Rhinolophus ferrumequinum: one gene and its partner. The protein of the gene in region 1 interacts with the protein of each later gene in a biochemical or structural test. Links are inferred from orthologs where the notes say so. Each region holds a gene or a part of one and is shown on either strand. Other genes may lie near its edges.

Region 1 (7,204 bases):
AAGAAGTTAAGATGCCAGAGAAAAATACATGAAGACAAAGTGGGGAAAAAAACAATAGAAACAGGTATCAGCCCTCTGATATCATGGTGAATACTAAAAATTTACTCAAATATAAAATATGCAAGTTGCTCTCTCTCTAGCACAAATTATCTATAATTGTTTAGTATAGAAAAAATGCTGTTCATGTTCATGTGTGATATCAATATTAGCAACTATAATCTACTGTGGAATTGAAAGCAATTTGTTTTAACTACTGTAATTTTATGAAAAAGATTAGTTTTATTTTTTGGATGTTCATTAACCTCCTTCAAACCTCTCTATTTTTCTACTTACATCTTTCCATATTAGACATCTTCCTGAAAAATTGCCCCCCAAATAAGAAGTTCCATGTGTTAACATTTCATTGACTTATATTAAAAATAGGAGCCTTGTTCCCCAGAGGGGGAAATACCATTTTGTTGTGCAATAGATAATAAAATCACATGGAGGTCTGGGGAAAACATTTGTCCCTATTATTCCCTCCTGGGAGGCTATATCATGGGTACTAAAGACAACTGTCGGTTCTGCATCACCCTGTAGTCATATTTCCTTCCTGCCTCAGTCATTGCAGAATTTGGTGAAACTGCAGGCAGCGAAATTACGACTGCCCTCTTTTGTTTCATTGTGAACCACACACATATCCAGAGTCACTATTGAGCCAAGGATTGAGGAACAACTTTAGGGGATTCTAAACTCTATACTTTGACGGAAAACTGGTATCAAATGTCTTTTTCCTTCAAGCACTAATATTAAAATCACATGTTAACGTAATTAACCTAATTAACATAATTAATGTTATCCTTCCATGAAAATAACCAACTTTTTTATTTTTATGAAGATTGTAGAATGATGTAAGTTATACTTGTCAAATGTGTTCAGGAACTTAGGTACATGGAAATCAGACGCAATGTGGAACACCATGGAATATCTACATTTGAAACTTAAAATAATTTTATGTCAAATTTTACCCTCACTTACACATGAATCTCATATGGAAAGCAAATAGCAGGTGCAAAGGGTTCATGAAAAATTTATAGGAAAAACTCAATACTGAAAATATTCTACCCATTTACATTTTTTCCTGTAAATTTAGAAAAGATTACAGTAATTCATTTTCAGCAGAATACCTCTTCTTCAGCATATGCAATCTCAGTGCTCACTAGAAGTAATGTGAACATTTCACTGACATTAAAAATAGTATATATTGAATAGCATATATCGTATGATGGCACTACAATTGCTAAAATCCAACAATACAGAATACACATTAAACTCTTATTAGTATCCTACCATGTTTGATTTAAATAAACCTAAATTCTAATAAATTTATTCCTTTTCTAAATGTATTTTAAAGGCTTTTTCCAATTTTTTAGTTATATTTAAGAGATAAGTGCTATCACAAATGCTTCAAGTTTAAAGCAGCAATTTATTCTGAGATTTACTTTTGTCTGCTTTCTTTCAAGTCCAGATTTCAATAACTTGGGGAACATTTACAATAAAGTATATTAATCAAATATTCAGTTTATAATATACATGATTACAGGACTTTATAAAATTGAAATTTTGTATAGGAAGAGTTGGAATATCAATAGTATTTCCTGTACATATTTTTAAAATAGGAGTGAATTGAGTTAATAATTTGGGAAAAATGATTATGCAGAATCTAAAATCAAGACCAATTAGTCTCAAAATAAGACAGGATATAAATGACAGTAAACAGCTTTTTATGTCCATGATTTCAACTGCTCCTACGAACAAATGTGATGAAGGTAAATAAACAATCCTTATTTTATAGCCAAGAACAGATTCTGAAAAGATCAACAGTATTAATTTATTTTAAAAAATATTTACTTACTGAGCATCTACTATGTGACTAGGTATTCTGCTAGGTGTTGAGGACACAGGCATGAACAGAATAATAAAATAATAATAATAATAATAATAATAATAATAATAATAATAATAATGAATCTGTTCACATGGAGTTAAATAAGTCTGGCCCAAGCTAAGTAAACCAGTAAGCACTGAGGTATGGAAGAAAATGACTTCTACTTTGTGCCTGAGTCCCTTACACTTTATCTCTGATTTCAAGGTGAGGATGAACACTGAAGGAAACTTAGTAGGGAGGTACAAGACAGGCAGAAAGAGAAAACAGCATGTGATGTTTCCTAAGTTTAAGAGTAAATCAAATGTATGCTAGAATTAGAAAGTATTTTTTTTTTTACTGGAAATTAGGGTAACTGTAAAAATGTTGTGTTTGTTGGGGAGGGGGCGGTGTTGGCAAAGGACAAATTCTATAACCTGATTCAGAAGGCAAATAAAGAACATTACACAGTTATAAAAAAGTAGGAAACTTACCACTTGAATAAAGCAAAGCATGGACACCTTTCTGGTTCTAACATGCCCAAGTTCAGTTAACATGGTATTGAGGAAAGGGAGAATTGCCTGTACTTAAATGATCATAAAGAATAATGAGTAGTTTTGGCACTGAGGACGAGAGTAGATATATAGACATAATATATAGCAAAGAATATTTACAGTCACATTTCATGCACCAATAAATAATGTATTCACTTCTCAAAGTCCCAAAGCAAACGTGAGTGAGAAAATTTTCATCTATACTCATATTCAGGATTAAACTTTCTAATATTAAATTACTAGACTTCAGCTGTAAATTTCAGTTGAAAGGTTTGAAGAGATTATTAATGAATCTTCTAAAATTCTGGAGCGTGTTTAAAAGATTATTTTAACATAATAAAGAATCTTGCCATAGGTATGACAAAAATTACAGGCATACATTTATGAGCACCTACCGTGAGAGCACTGTGCTGGGCAACTTTATTTCTAGTACTCTACGTGTCATGTTTCAGGTTTCTCAATTTCTCTACCAATAATTCGTATATTGTTAATTTATAACTATATTATTTGAAATACAGCTCAGCTCATTTCATAAAATTGGTCCCAAAGACTTTTCCTTATTTGAAAGGGAGGGGGGGAAGAAGTGGAAAGCTAAATCCTACTGACTACTTCAGACTTGACTTCCTTGGTATTTGTGGTGTTATCTATACGGTCTTTTAGACATCCCCCAAATTTATACCAAGTCAGGGACTTGAGATGAGATCAGCAATCTATCAGTCTCAAAGACCGCATTTGTGAGCCATGCTTGTTGCCTTAACGTCCTATATACAGGTAACTACCCATTTAGATGGTAAGTCACGGCCTGTTAATAGCTTAACTTTGACTCTTGACGCCCAAGATCTCGTGGGACTACTCTAAGGGGAAAGCCCAGAGGACCGCTCAGAGCAGGGAGGCTGGGCGGGGGGCAGGCGGAGGTGACAGGTGAGTCTGGTGTGGATGAGGAAGTGAGACAGGGGCAGTGTGGGTATTACTCATTTTGCTTCCCCGCCGAGCTGGCTTGCAAGCGGAACTTCTAGCCTCTCTTTCGGTCCAGCTGAAGTTCTATCTAATTGAAGTCACTTCCCATCCCAGTTCCCTGAGGGGAAAACCATGCGTGTAATGGAAGGGAGTCAGAGCGGCGGGGCGGGGGTCAGGTAGCCTCTCTCGTGAAGCCGTGCGTCCTCGCGGTCAGAGGCTGAGCTTCCCAAAACAGTCCTTCACCGTTCCCGAACCTGCCCTTCTCCTAACCCGGGCAACTCCCGGGGGAGTCCGGGGCACGACCCTCTGCGGAGCCCCGGGGTGCGCAGAGCGGACGAACGCTGCGTGGGAGCGGAGCCTAACCTTGAGGAAGAGGGAAGACAGGTTGTTCCGGTTACTCTGAGGACACAAGGTCCCGACTAGAATCGGTCAGACCCGTACGAGCCCCAAGCATTCGCGGCGGGTGTGGCCAGTTCACAGGCAGAACGCGGCGGAACCTCCTCCTTTACCTTTCTCAGTCTGACAGCCTGTCGCCCGTCTGACCAGGTCCCCACAGTTTCCCAATGTCTCCCTCCCCCATCCCAAGACACCTGAGGGAAACTTTTCCCTCGGCCCTCAATTCAAACACAGCTGTTTCCAGTGTTGCCGCAAACCGTCTTCTCCCTAGCAACAAGGTTCCGGCCGTAGAGCGAGCGGCTCTAGGTGTAAGGAAGGTGATGTCGTAAAGCCGCGAGTGTCGTAAACCAGGTGCGGTGGGGAGGGGGGAGGGGTGGAGGCGGAGGGGTGGGGGGGAGGAGGGAGGGAGGGGGAGGAGGTGACTCGAGCATTTAGACACAAGCGAGAGGATCATGGCGGATGGCCCCAGGTGTAAGCGCAGAAAGCAGGCGAACCCGCGGCGCAATAACGGTGAGTGGCGGAGGGGACCGGGGAGCGGCGGAGTCAGGGGGAGCCGGGCAGCCGGGGCGCCCCGGAGGTGAGGGGGGCGAGCCGGGCTGGGGGCGGCCGGGGCAGGGACTGGCAAAGTGGAGTGGGAAAGTAGAAAGTAGTGCTCTCTGCCCCCCTCCGCTGCCGGAGCCGCGCCGCGGCCGCTCGCTCTCCCTGAACCGTTATGTCTCTTACCTGGTCTCTCTCCGCCTAGCGGCTCCTGCCGCCCCTGCCGCCTCCCTGGACCGTTAGCCGGCGCCGCCGCATCCCCGGCGCAGGGCGAGCGGTCGGGACGCGGCGGCCACTTTTCTGGTCCCGGGTGGAGAGGCTGTTGCTTCTTTTCTCACTTTTCCCCACTCTTCTGCCCCTCGCGCCTCCCCGCTCCCCCTCCTCCTCAGCCCCCTCCGCCGTATTCTCCCTCAGCGCCGAGGCCCCCGGGAGCCGGGAACTAACTTGTGCCGGCGCTGGCCGTGCAAAGTGGCTTCCGCGCGTCGCGGCCCCAGCCCGCGCCGTCGCTTGGGCCCCGCGGCTCGGGCAGGGTGGGTCGGCTGCGGGCGCGCGGCGGGCGATGGGACGCGGTGGCCCGGCTGCGTGTCGTCCGTGCGCGCGTGTGCGCGGGCGCCGGCGGGGCGCGCCGCGGGCGGACGGGGCTCAGCCCGCTGCTGTAAAGTTGTGACCGGCCGGCGCGCTCGCGGAGTGGGGATTAGCGGCGGAGGCGCGGGTCCCTAAGTGCCCCTCCTCCCCCGCGCCCCGGCCACCGCGCCCTGGGCCGCCGAGGCAAGCCCTGCGAGTGAGGTCCACGTCCTGTGGGGCGCTGGTGGGGCGGCAGGGACGGCGGGGCAGCAGCGGGCGCCTACTTGCTGCTGGGGGCGATCTGTGGATGGCGGCGAGCCGGGCAGCGGGTGTGTTTGTGGAGTTGTTACCTGGTTAGAGACAGGAAAGCACCACAGACAGAGCTCCCTCCCCGGGGAAGACTCCTTCTCCGCGCTGGGATGGGGCTGTGTGCGTACGCCTCTCTCTTTTCTCTTTCGGTTTTTGGGGAAGTTGTTACCTGAGCCGGACGCTCGGAGCGCTGAAGCCGGATAATGGAGCTTGGATGGCGCTCGCGGACTCGGGTGGAAAGGGAGTGGGGGAGGGGGAGGGCGAACTGACGGACGTGCGGGTCGGCTGCTCGCTCTGCAGCTGCAGTGTTTATTGATCTGTGCTGATGTGCCGGGGAAATACACACCCCTCGGCCTGGCGTGAGAGTTTTAAATAAATAAAGAGAGAGACAGAGAGAGAGAGAGCGAGAGAGACCCGAACATGTGGTTGTTGTTGCACATTGGCCTTTTCCAGTTTGGAGAGACGTTGTAAGTTGATTGTATTTTTGCTTATCTCAGGGGCGATTCTGTGCTTTCTCTCCCCCCTGTTCAGCAGCGAAATGTCTGCTGATTGTTATTGTCTGGACAGTTCCTGTGGCGAGAGGGGCAAGACTTGTCCGCCCGGGGGCGGCAGGAGCTCGGGGAGAGGCCCCCGCCCGCCGGCCGGGTACCTGTTTGTATAATAATGGGCGGCAACGGCTCTGCCGCCGGCTGCGGCCCAGGCTATATAAGGAATTACACGTACATTTGGACCGAGGGGCTTGTCTGGGTTCCTGCGTTATTTTTAAAACGAGTTTTTAAGAGTAGGGAAATAAATGCGCCTATAATGGAATCACTGTATCTTCCAGAAAATGAGGAAATATGTGTTTAAGTAAAAACTCTCGCGATCCCCCCGCCCCCTCCCCCGCGCCCGGCCTCTCTTTCTCCCTCCCCTCTGGGATGCGAAACGCGAGGTTTTGTAACCTTTCCTGGCAATTTTAGATTTTGTGTGGGATTTCCTGTCTAGAAGCAGATACGAAGGTTTTAAGCTGTTTCAAGATGTTTCCTTCCAATCGTAAACATTTTAATATATTTGAACCAACATTAAAATCACTGCTTCCACGAATGATTGTAGTTATTCAAATGTTTGCATTTAAAAGCATCAAACAATTATGATCGATAACTAATATGTTGTATCCTCATTGTGAGAGATGACTTGTTACAGTAAGGAGCAGAGCATAGGCTATTGCAATTTTAATTTCCTGTTTTAGCGTCAAATACTGTGTGTTCTGTATTGAGCTGTTGCCGCTGTTGCTGATGTGGCTTTATGAAAGGTAAGTTGGTTCAGAAAGGGTTGTTCGCTTTTTACCTTATTTAAAATGTTCATCGCCATAGAAAGGGGCTTTTCTTGTTGCTGACGACATGTGTGTGACATGTGAGTCTGAACCACCCAGCGTCTGTGCAGCTGCTGTAAACATGTTTACCTGAGCAGGAAAGAATGGATTTTTCTCCTAAAGATCCTGCGATGTGAATATTACACCCATAAGGCATATCAACAGATGACTTAAGGGGGAAAAAAGCTATCCTGAAAGGTACTTGAAATCAACAGGAAAAAGAGGTTCTCGGTCGCTGCAGCAAATGGCAACTTGTGCAGGTAGAAAAAAGATGGTGTTTAGTTTTCTCCTGTATGTATGTCAGCCCCCTCCTGTCTGCTGCTTTCATTCTCAAGGGAGGGATTTATTTACCACGCTTACTGTCAGTGTTTTTCCTTTGTTTTTAATATTAGAAAAACAGATTTGGGGCTGCTTAGCACAAAATGTCTTGTCTGCAGTATGCATTACTCTGAGAAAACAAAAGGTGTTTAAGATAGCACTATACTACTACAGGTATCTTCCATTTTCGTCACTTTTGGCTCTGTCCTTGTATTTCTTTTTGTTCTCAAATGCATTTCATCCATTGCTGATGATTACTGTCGTGCTATTTGATTAAGCCTTATAATTTGCAAATTAAAAATGAAGTTATATATG
Region 2 (6,835 bases), on another chromosome or scaffold:
AAGCTGGTGTAGTGTCCACTTTCCAAAGTTCCATGGTGATTAATCACTGCAAACAAGGAATACTTATTCTCATTGGGTGCACAATCTGTTGGTGGTTGGTCAGCTTTCATTCTGCTCTCTTTAGTGGAGGCCAAAAATGGAGTCATGTCCAGTTCCAAAGGAAAGGAGATAAAAGTATTAATCTTTCGTCTCTGTTTGCCTAAATGTTCAAACCGCTTTAGATGAAAACAGGCCACAATGGGTAATTTCTTCATTGTGAGCTGTTTGGTAGATTCCTGGTAGCTTTGGCAACTACTGCATTTGATTTTGGCACTGCTTCCTAGGTGTTCCGGCCTTGTAAACCACTGAAGGCAGTCTGTGAGTGAGGGGATTCCTGGTATGTGGTCATCCCTACACACTGTGCTGTCAGCCCTCTCTGGACTCTGGGAACTGAATGTGGCATAAGAGCCAGGCAAGTCCAAACTGATGTCCCAGCATGGGTCTATTGTGGTGGAGACGCTATGGCAAGCTTGACATGTGACATCTGACTGCAAGCCTCCTGTAAAGATTTGGTCTATAATGCAGTTACAGCAGTTGGGGTTACTGGCTTCCTGCTCAACACTATCATCTTTGCTGTGTCTATGCAGCACATCTAATATTGCAATAAGGAACTCATGGGCATCCTGTTGCCTGTACCCTGCTAAGTGTTCTGCATGAATCCATATCAGGTGCAGTAACTTATAGGGAATGTGAGGAGTTCGGCTCCCAGAGTACATAGCATGAAAAAGAGAAGACATTTCACAGACAAGACACAAACTGGGGCTTGTCATTATACATTTGTGCTTGTCAGAGAGAAAGAAATCTTTCAGAAGAGGAATATGGGTAAGTGCCTGGACAATACAATTCATAAAACAGGTGTTCCCAAGATTGATTAGCCCTCTCAGGCCTACAGTATACACTGACTTTTTTCTCCTCTTTTTCTTGGGTTTCACCAATTTTGGCTGTCGTTCCTTTGACTCACAGGTTGATTGCTTCTCTTCAACACCTGATGCCATATACTGTTGAGAAACATCTGTTGAGGTGGAAGTTAATAATTTCAACATTTTCTCTTTTGTTTCTTTGGCAATCTGTTCTATGTCTTTGTCATATACGTAATCCTTACATATAAAGCAATATATAACCCCATGGTAGAGGTCTACAGCTAAATTGTGCTGTTCTGTTTCTGCATGTTTATGAATATGTTTCTCAGTAAAGCAACCAAAAAAGACACAGGAGAGACAAGAGTGGAGTCTGTTCACATGGGTACTACATACAAGACAGATGCAGGACTTTGCCTTACGCTTCCTAGTCTCCGGGGTCCCACTCCAAACGAAACGCTGGTAGATCAACCGAAGGTTCTTCTGCCAATTCTTCGCTACTTTAAAGCTCTCCACATGAGAGCAGCCCGCGGGACCCTGATCAAACTCCACCTCCAGCAGCCAGTCCCCAAAGCCACCTCGATCCCCAGAGCCGCCTAAGTCACCAAAACAGCTTTGCCGCGTCCGAGGCCTGGACGCCGGCCGGGATCTACGCTGAGGTCTGCGCCAGTGCCGGGGCCGCGGCGAGGGCGGCGGTGGCGGCGGTGGCGGCGGCGGCGGCGGCGGCGGCGGCGGCGGCGGCGGCGGCGGCGGCGGCGGCGGCGGCGGCGGCGGCGGCGGCGGCGGCGGCGGCGGCAGATGAGCTGGAGGCGGGGGTGGGGCCTCGGGTCCGGGCGGTCCTCGGAAGCGGGCCCGGGGCTGGGGCCGAGGGCGGGGCTTGCGGCGCGGGCAGAGGGGCGAGGAGCTGCTGGGCCAGCGGGGTGGGGTTGAAGGGAACACCTCGTCGCCACCGCTGCCGCTCCAGGTCAGGTTCTCCTCAGGCACAGGATTACGCTCTTGTAATGGCTCCAGCTTCATCTTCTCAGTTCCCTGGCCGGCACACGCCTTCGTCGTGCCCACCGCCTCCACCTCCATTTCCCCCGCCTTCTCAACCGCCTCCTCGGACGAGGCTCCTCCCCCACCTCTCGAGCTCCAACGGACCAAAGAGCCAGAGGACGAGGCAGCTTCTGGAACTTGGGCCATCAGCTCACCGCCTGGTCTGGAGTGAAAGGCGTCTGGAATCGAGCTGCCACTGTAGATGGAATGAGACAGAGATAGCTGTGAATAATCTGGCCGGCGTCATGGCCGCGGCGGGCCATTAGCGCCCCCGGGACCCTCCCACCGGCCGCTGCGAGCTCCACCCCCTCTATTCAGAGGCTCCTGGAACTGGTGTGGAGACCGAAGCGGTTGGTTACCTGGTTTAAAGGCGATCGGATCTTGCCCGGGGCCGAGGGGGTGGTGCGGGGTGGGAGGGAGGCAGGCAGACGGCGGCTGGAAAAGGTGGGGGCGGGGGTACGGCCTGAGCTTTAGGGTGGAAAGAGATGGAATCTTTAAAAAAGGCGCCACCCTCAGACTGCCTTTCCTGGGCCTTGCGCAGCCTCACTTTGGTACAGCTTCCTCTGACGTTCATTCCTTATATCCTAAAACACACTTGGGTCAACATTTTACCTTAAAAATGGCTGGGCCACCTATGGAAAATGGGCTCAGGGGAAGAAAATGTCTCCCTACTCCCATCTTACCTGTGCTTCTCCGGCTGGCTGTGTTCCACCTTTTGCCCCTACCTCCAAGCGCAGTCTTTTCCTCTGCCACTTTCTTGTGCCCTCTCATGCTCCTTCGCGCTTGTGTTCTCTCTCACACCTCGTTTCTTGCTTCAGCACCCTCATTCCCTATAATTCCTCTGAGAATTCGGACTCCTTCTCACGCCCTCCACGCGCTGGACGCTCACGTCTTCAGTGCTGAACGCCCGAAGTCCCTGCCCCTTCCCGCCCCCGCCCACGCAGCGCCCCCAGCCCCGCTGTTTGTTTAAAGGTCTGGGTTACCTTGGGCCCCAGGCGCGTGATTCAGAACGTCAGCAGCTGCTGCTGTCCAGGCGCTCCTCAGCCAGCCTTCTCTCCTGACCTCTCCTCAGGGCTGGTCACAAGGGGGCCGCCCCCTGGCCCCACCCCTCTCGACGTGCGGCCCCCAGCCCCGGATTCTGCCCTCCTTCAGTGATGAGTGGCACCGTTGTCCGCGCAGTCAGACAAACCTCTTCCTGAAACAGATTCTACTGGAGGTAACCACAGCGACAGAGTCTAGAGAAAGCCCCTGAAATGGAGGCTGTGGCCTCACCTGGCTCCAGGCCCACGCTCGGCAGAAAAATGATTCATTGGGGTGGGGGTGGGGGTTTGAAGGGATGGCAACTCTGGCAGGAATCCCTTAGGGACCCATCAGAGTCTGATACCTGGGAGTTAAGTGGACTGCGGAATGTTATTCTGGAGTGTGGGGACAGGAAGCATAAGCGAAGGCTTCAGGCTCAGATAGGAGAGCCCAGGCACTTGCTAGCTGTGTGAGCCCAGATAAAACACATTACCTCTCTGAGCCTTAGTTGTAGCATCTGTTAAACAAAAATGGAAATAATACTAACCTATTATGAACACTAAATCAGTATGTGTAAACTAAAGGATCTTTATGGCAAGCTTTATCTTTTTCACCTCTTTCACAGTCCCCACCTTAAAACTCAGCCTATAGCATAATGCCTGATACTTACAGTAGAGCAAAAGCGAACACTTCTCTTTCAAAGCCCTCTCAAAGTTATTGCTCTGTTTACCAGATTATCCCTCCTAAACAGTTCATTTACATGAGCATGCAGTCAATAAATGTGGATCCCTTAACTGTACTACTGTGCTAGATTGTGCTGTGAAAAACACAGACTAAAACAATCTGTGTCTTCCAGGAGTTCATAGTCCAGGAGATTTTTTCTTCCCTTTAACAGGTTCAGTACCCAAGGTCACAACCCCCACAAAAGGTGCTATTTCTAGAACTTGTTGCCTTTCCTGTCCAATCCCAAGAATATTCCTGCTTCTCAGTGAGGAGGTTTAATGCTACATTTAATCTCTCTGGAACAGTCGTGCACCACCTTTCTAAACTTCAGAATTAGAATTCAGGTCTCTCTGGCTTGGGAGTGATATTTGCCTTCCCAAAATGGATGGCAATGATTTCAGGAGGTCAAAGAGAGTCAATAATCTATATGAATTTACAGAGTGAGCACAGATCAACATGATCTTGAAGAGAAGAATCACCATAACTGTTCTGTGGCTCAAAATGACTATAGATTGAGAGGTTCAAATACAAGTCTCCTTCAGATGAATATGTTTTCAGGATCATTTGCCTGGGACACAAGAGAACAATTCTCTTATACTTTTTCATCACTAGAAGCTGTGTTTTTAACCTTCAGCAAGCTACACATCATTGTTAAAATTCCGTTTCCTCGAGTCAGAAAAGACCTGACTTGACCTGTTAGCAATTCTTATAAACTCACAGCAATCTTGAAAGGCATCCTCATGAGATTTCCAATTCAGATATTTGGCCCCCAAATCAGCTTAGGGCCACGTAGCTGACTAGAAAGGCCACTGTCACTCTCATGGTTCTGCCACAACCTCACACCAGAGAGGGAAGGCTTACTGTTTTCAGGCTATAATTTTCAGTTTCTCTAGATACAGCTAAGCTATCAGTACAGGAGCCTTGAGAAGGAGCCTCAAGACAGAGGATGATGTGCTCAGACTGAGGCACGTTAGTTTTTCATCCTCTGGAGTTTCCAAAGAACTTTTAATAAAATAATCATCATCATAACAAGCACAGTAAGGTTTTCTAACACCATGAAACTTGGAGCTGTGTAAATATTAGAGATTTAGACGTACAATTTGGAAAGATGGCACCAGAGGGTAAAGGAACACACACACACGAGGTGGCAGTGAGGTAAGAGAAGCAGAAATGGAGTCACCAGTGGATGCTCCGGAAGACTTTGACAGGAGGCGGGATCATAGAGAATAAATGGCTGGCTCTCCTGCTAGTGAGTGGGTGGGTGGCATAGGGGCAGGGGAAGGCCTCTGGTGGCCTAAGGGGCAGTCCCTCCTACCCCCCTTGATTCCTCCCTTCCATCTGAATTACCCTTTTTCTTGTGTGTTCCTCCTTTGGCAGAAATTGGAGAGGGGTAAGGAAAACTTAGTGTCCCTGGAAGTCCCAGCAGTGCCAGCTGTACCTGAAAAACAGCCAGTCACCGCCCCCCCCCCACACACATACTGGTCTGCTCCAACCACACTGAACCTTGTGATTCCAATCCACTTCTTGACAATAGAGCCCTGAAGGCTAGAAGAGGGAGAGGGAGTAGATCCTCAGGATTCCATGATGACTCCAAAGTCACCCCAGAGGTCCTGCCCCAACTGCATCCCCAGAGTTGGTGTTGGTCTGGACCGATCCCCAAGGATCTGGCCTCCCTCCTGGTTTCCCCTGCTTTACACCCAGCTCAAGTGTTCCCTCCTCCAAGAGGCTTCTCTGATCCCCCAGATCAGGAGAGGGTCCCTCAGTAGAGCAGCACTACACAGGCAGGGCCCTGCTGGACCCAGCCTCTCTGAGGAGGGTCCTGTTGAATCCCTCAGTTTGGGTACGACCCCACCCTTCATCCTCTCCTATCCCAGACCCTTTTTCAGCAGAGGGAAGGCTGCATGAAGAGACCATTCTCAAAGAAAGGCTTCCTGTAGAAGTGTAGCTGGAAAACATGTCCAAATCTGATTTCATGTAGAAGTACCTGGGGGAAAAAAAATTTGGAATTGTAGACTAATTTACAAAGGAAAATAGTAATTCCTCCTCCCCCTCCTCCCCCACACACATACCAGGTAAGGGCATTTACTCAACCATAGCTAACAGAAGAGTTGCTTCTTTTGGGTTAGCAGACCTACATGGAATTGCTGACTCAGTCATTTGCTAGCTATGTAACCAGGAGGAGGCCCAATAATTTGTCTCTGACAATTTACCAGCTAATGCTGCTGCTGAATGTCTATACTTGTGGTATGGGGACTGGACTTTGAGAACCACTGCTGTGGGTTAATGTATAAAGAACCACAGGTCAAGGCCATCTGGCCTTAGTAGCAGGAACCCTTTCTGATGTGGCTAGTTTCCTAGGACTATTTAGTCTTGGCTTCTCTTAAGGTTTTCTTTTTCTAAAAAAAAAAAAAAAGACTTTTGTGAAAATATAGCTAATATACAATATTATATTAGTTTCAAGTGTACATCATAATTATTCAATAGTACTCACCTGGGTACTGTTATACAGAGTTATTACCACATTATTGATTATATTCCCTATGCTAAAGAAGTGATCACCATGATAACTCCAGCAACCATCTGATACTACCATGCTATCACAATATTATTGACTATATTTCCTATGCTGTATATTACATCCCAATACTTGTTTTGTACCTGGAACTTTGAACCTCTTCTTGTTCTTTATCTTTTCTCCCCTTTTTTGATTTTTCAATTAGAGTTGGCATTCAATATTATTTTATATTTGTTTCAGGGGTACAGTATAGTGGTTAGACATTTATATAATTTAGGAAGTGATCCTCCTGACTAGTATCCACTTGGCATTATACATATTTATTACCACATTATTTATTACATTCCAAATACTTTACATCACCATGACTATTTTGTAACTACCAATTTGTATTTCTTAATCCCTTCACCTTGTCCCCAACCACCCTCCCATATATCACCCCAATAGATCTAGTACCCATCTGACATTATACGTAGTTATTACAATATTATTGACTATATTCCTTATGTGATACCTGATATCCCTATGACTACTGTGTAACAACCTATTTGTACTTCTTAATCCCTTCCCCTTTTTCACTCATCCCCAAGCCCCCTCGATCCGGCATGAGTTTGTTTCTGGTTAGTTTGTTTATTTTGTTCTTTAG

Evidence for each region.
Region 2: the proteins of ZEB1 (region 1) and USP51 form a complex in vitro, tested with the Homo sapiens proteins (2 studies listed by BioGRID). The link is inferred for Rhinolophus ferrumequinum from reciprocal best matches to the Homo sapiens genes ZEB1 and USP51.

Annotation. Positions count from the first base shown.
Region 1 is NC_046288.1:2,887,988-2,895,191, forward strand, and holds the start of ZEB1 (zinc finger E-box-binding homeobox 1), read left to right. Parts: upstream 1-4,199; 5' UTR 4,200-4,262; coding exon 4,263-4,320; intron 4,321-5,225; exon of another isoform or gene 5,226-5,330; coding exon of another isoform or gene 5,331-5,340; intron 5,341-6,137; exon of another isoform or gene 6,138-6,504; coding exon of another isoform or gene 6,505-6,511; intron 6,512-6,638; exon of another isoform or gene 6,639-6,815; coding exon of another isoform or gene 6,816-6,831; intron 6,832-7,204. UniProt on the Homo sapiens protein: Acts as a transcriptional repressor. Inhibits interleukin-2 (IL-2) gene expression. Enhances or represses the promoter activity of the ATP1A1 gene depending on the quantity of cDNA and on the cell type.
Region 2 is NC_046284.1:80,835,576-80,842,410, forward strand, and holds the start of USP51 (ubiquitin carboxyl-terminal hydrolase 51), read right to left. Parts: upstream 3,008-6,835; 5' UTR 2,615-3,007; intron 2,516-2,614; 5' UTR 2,291-2,515; intron 2,128-2,290; 5' UTR 2,079-2,127; coding exon 1,696-2,078; intron 1,618-1,695; coding exon 1-1,617.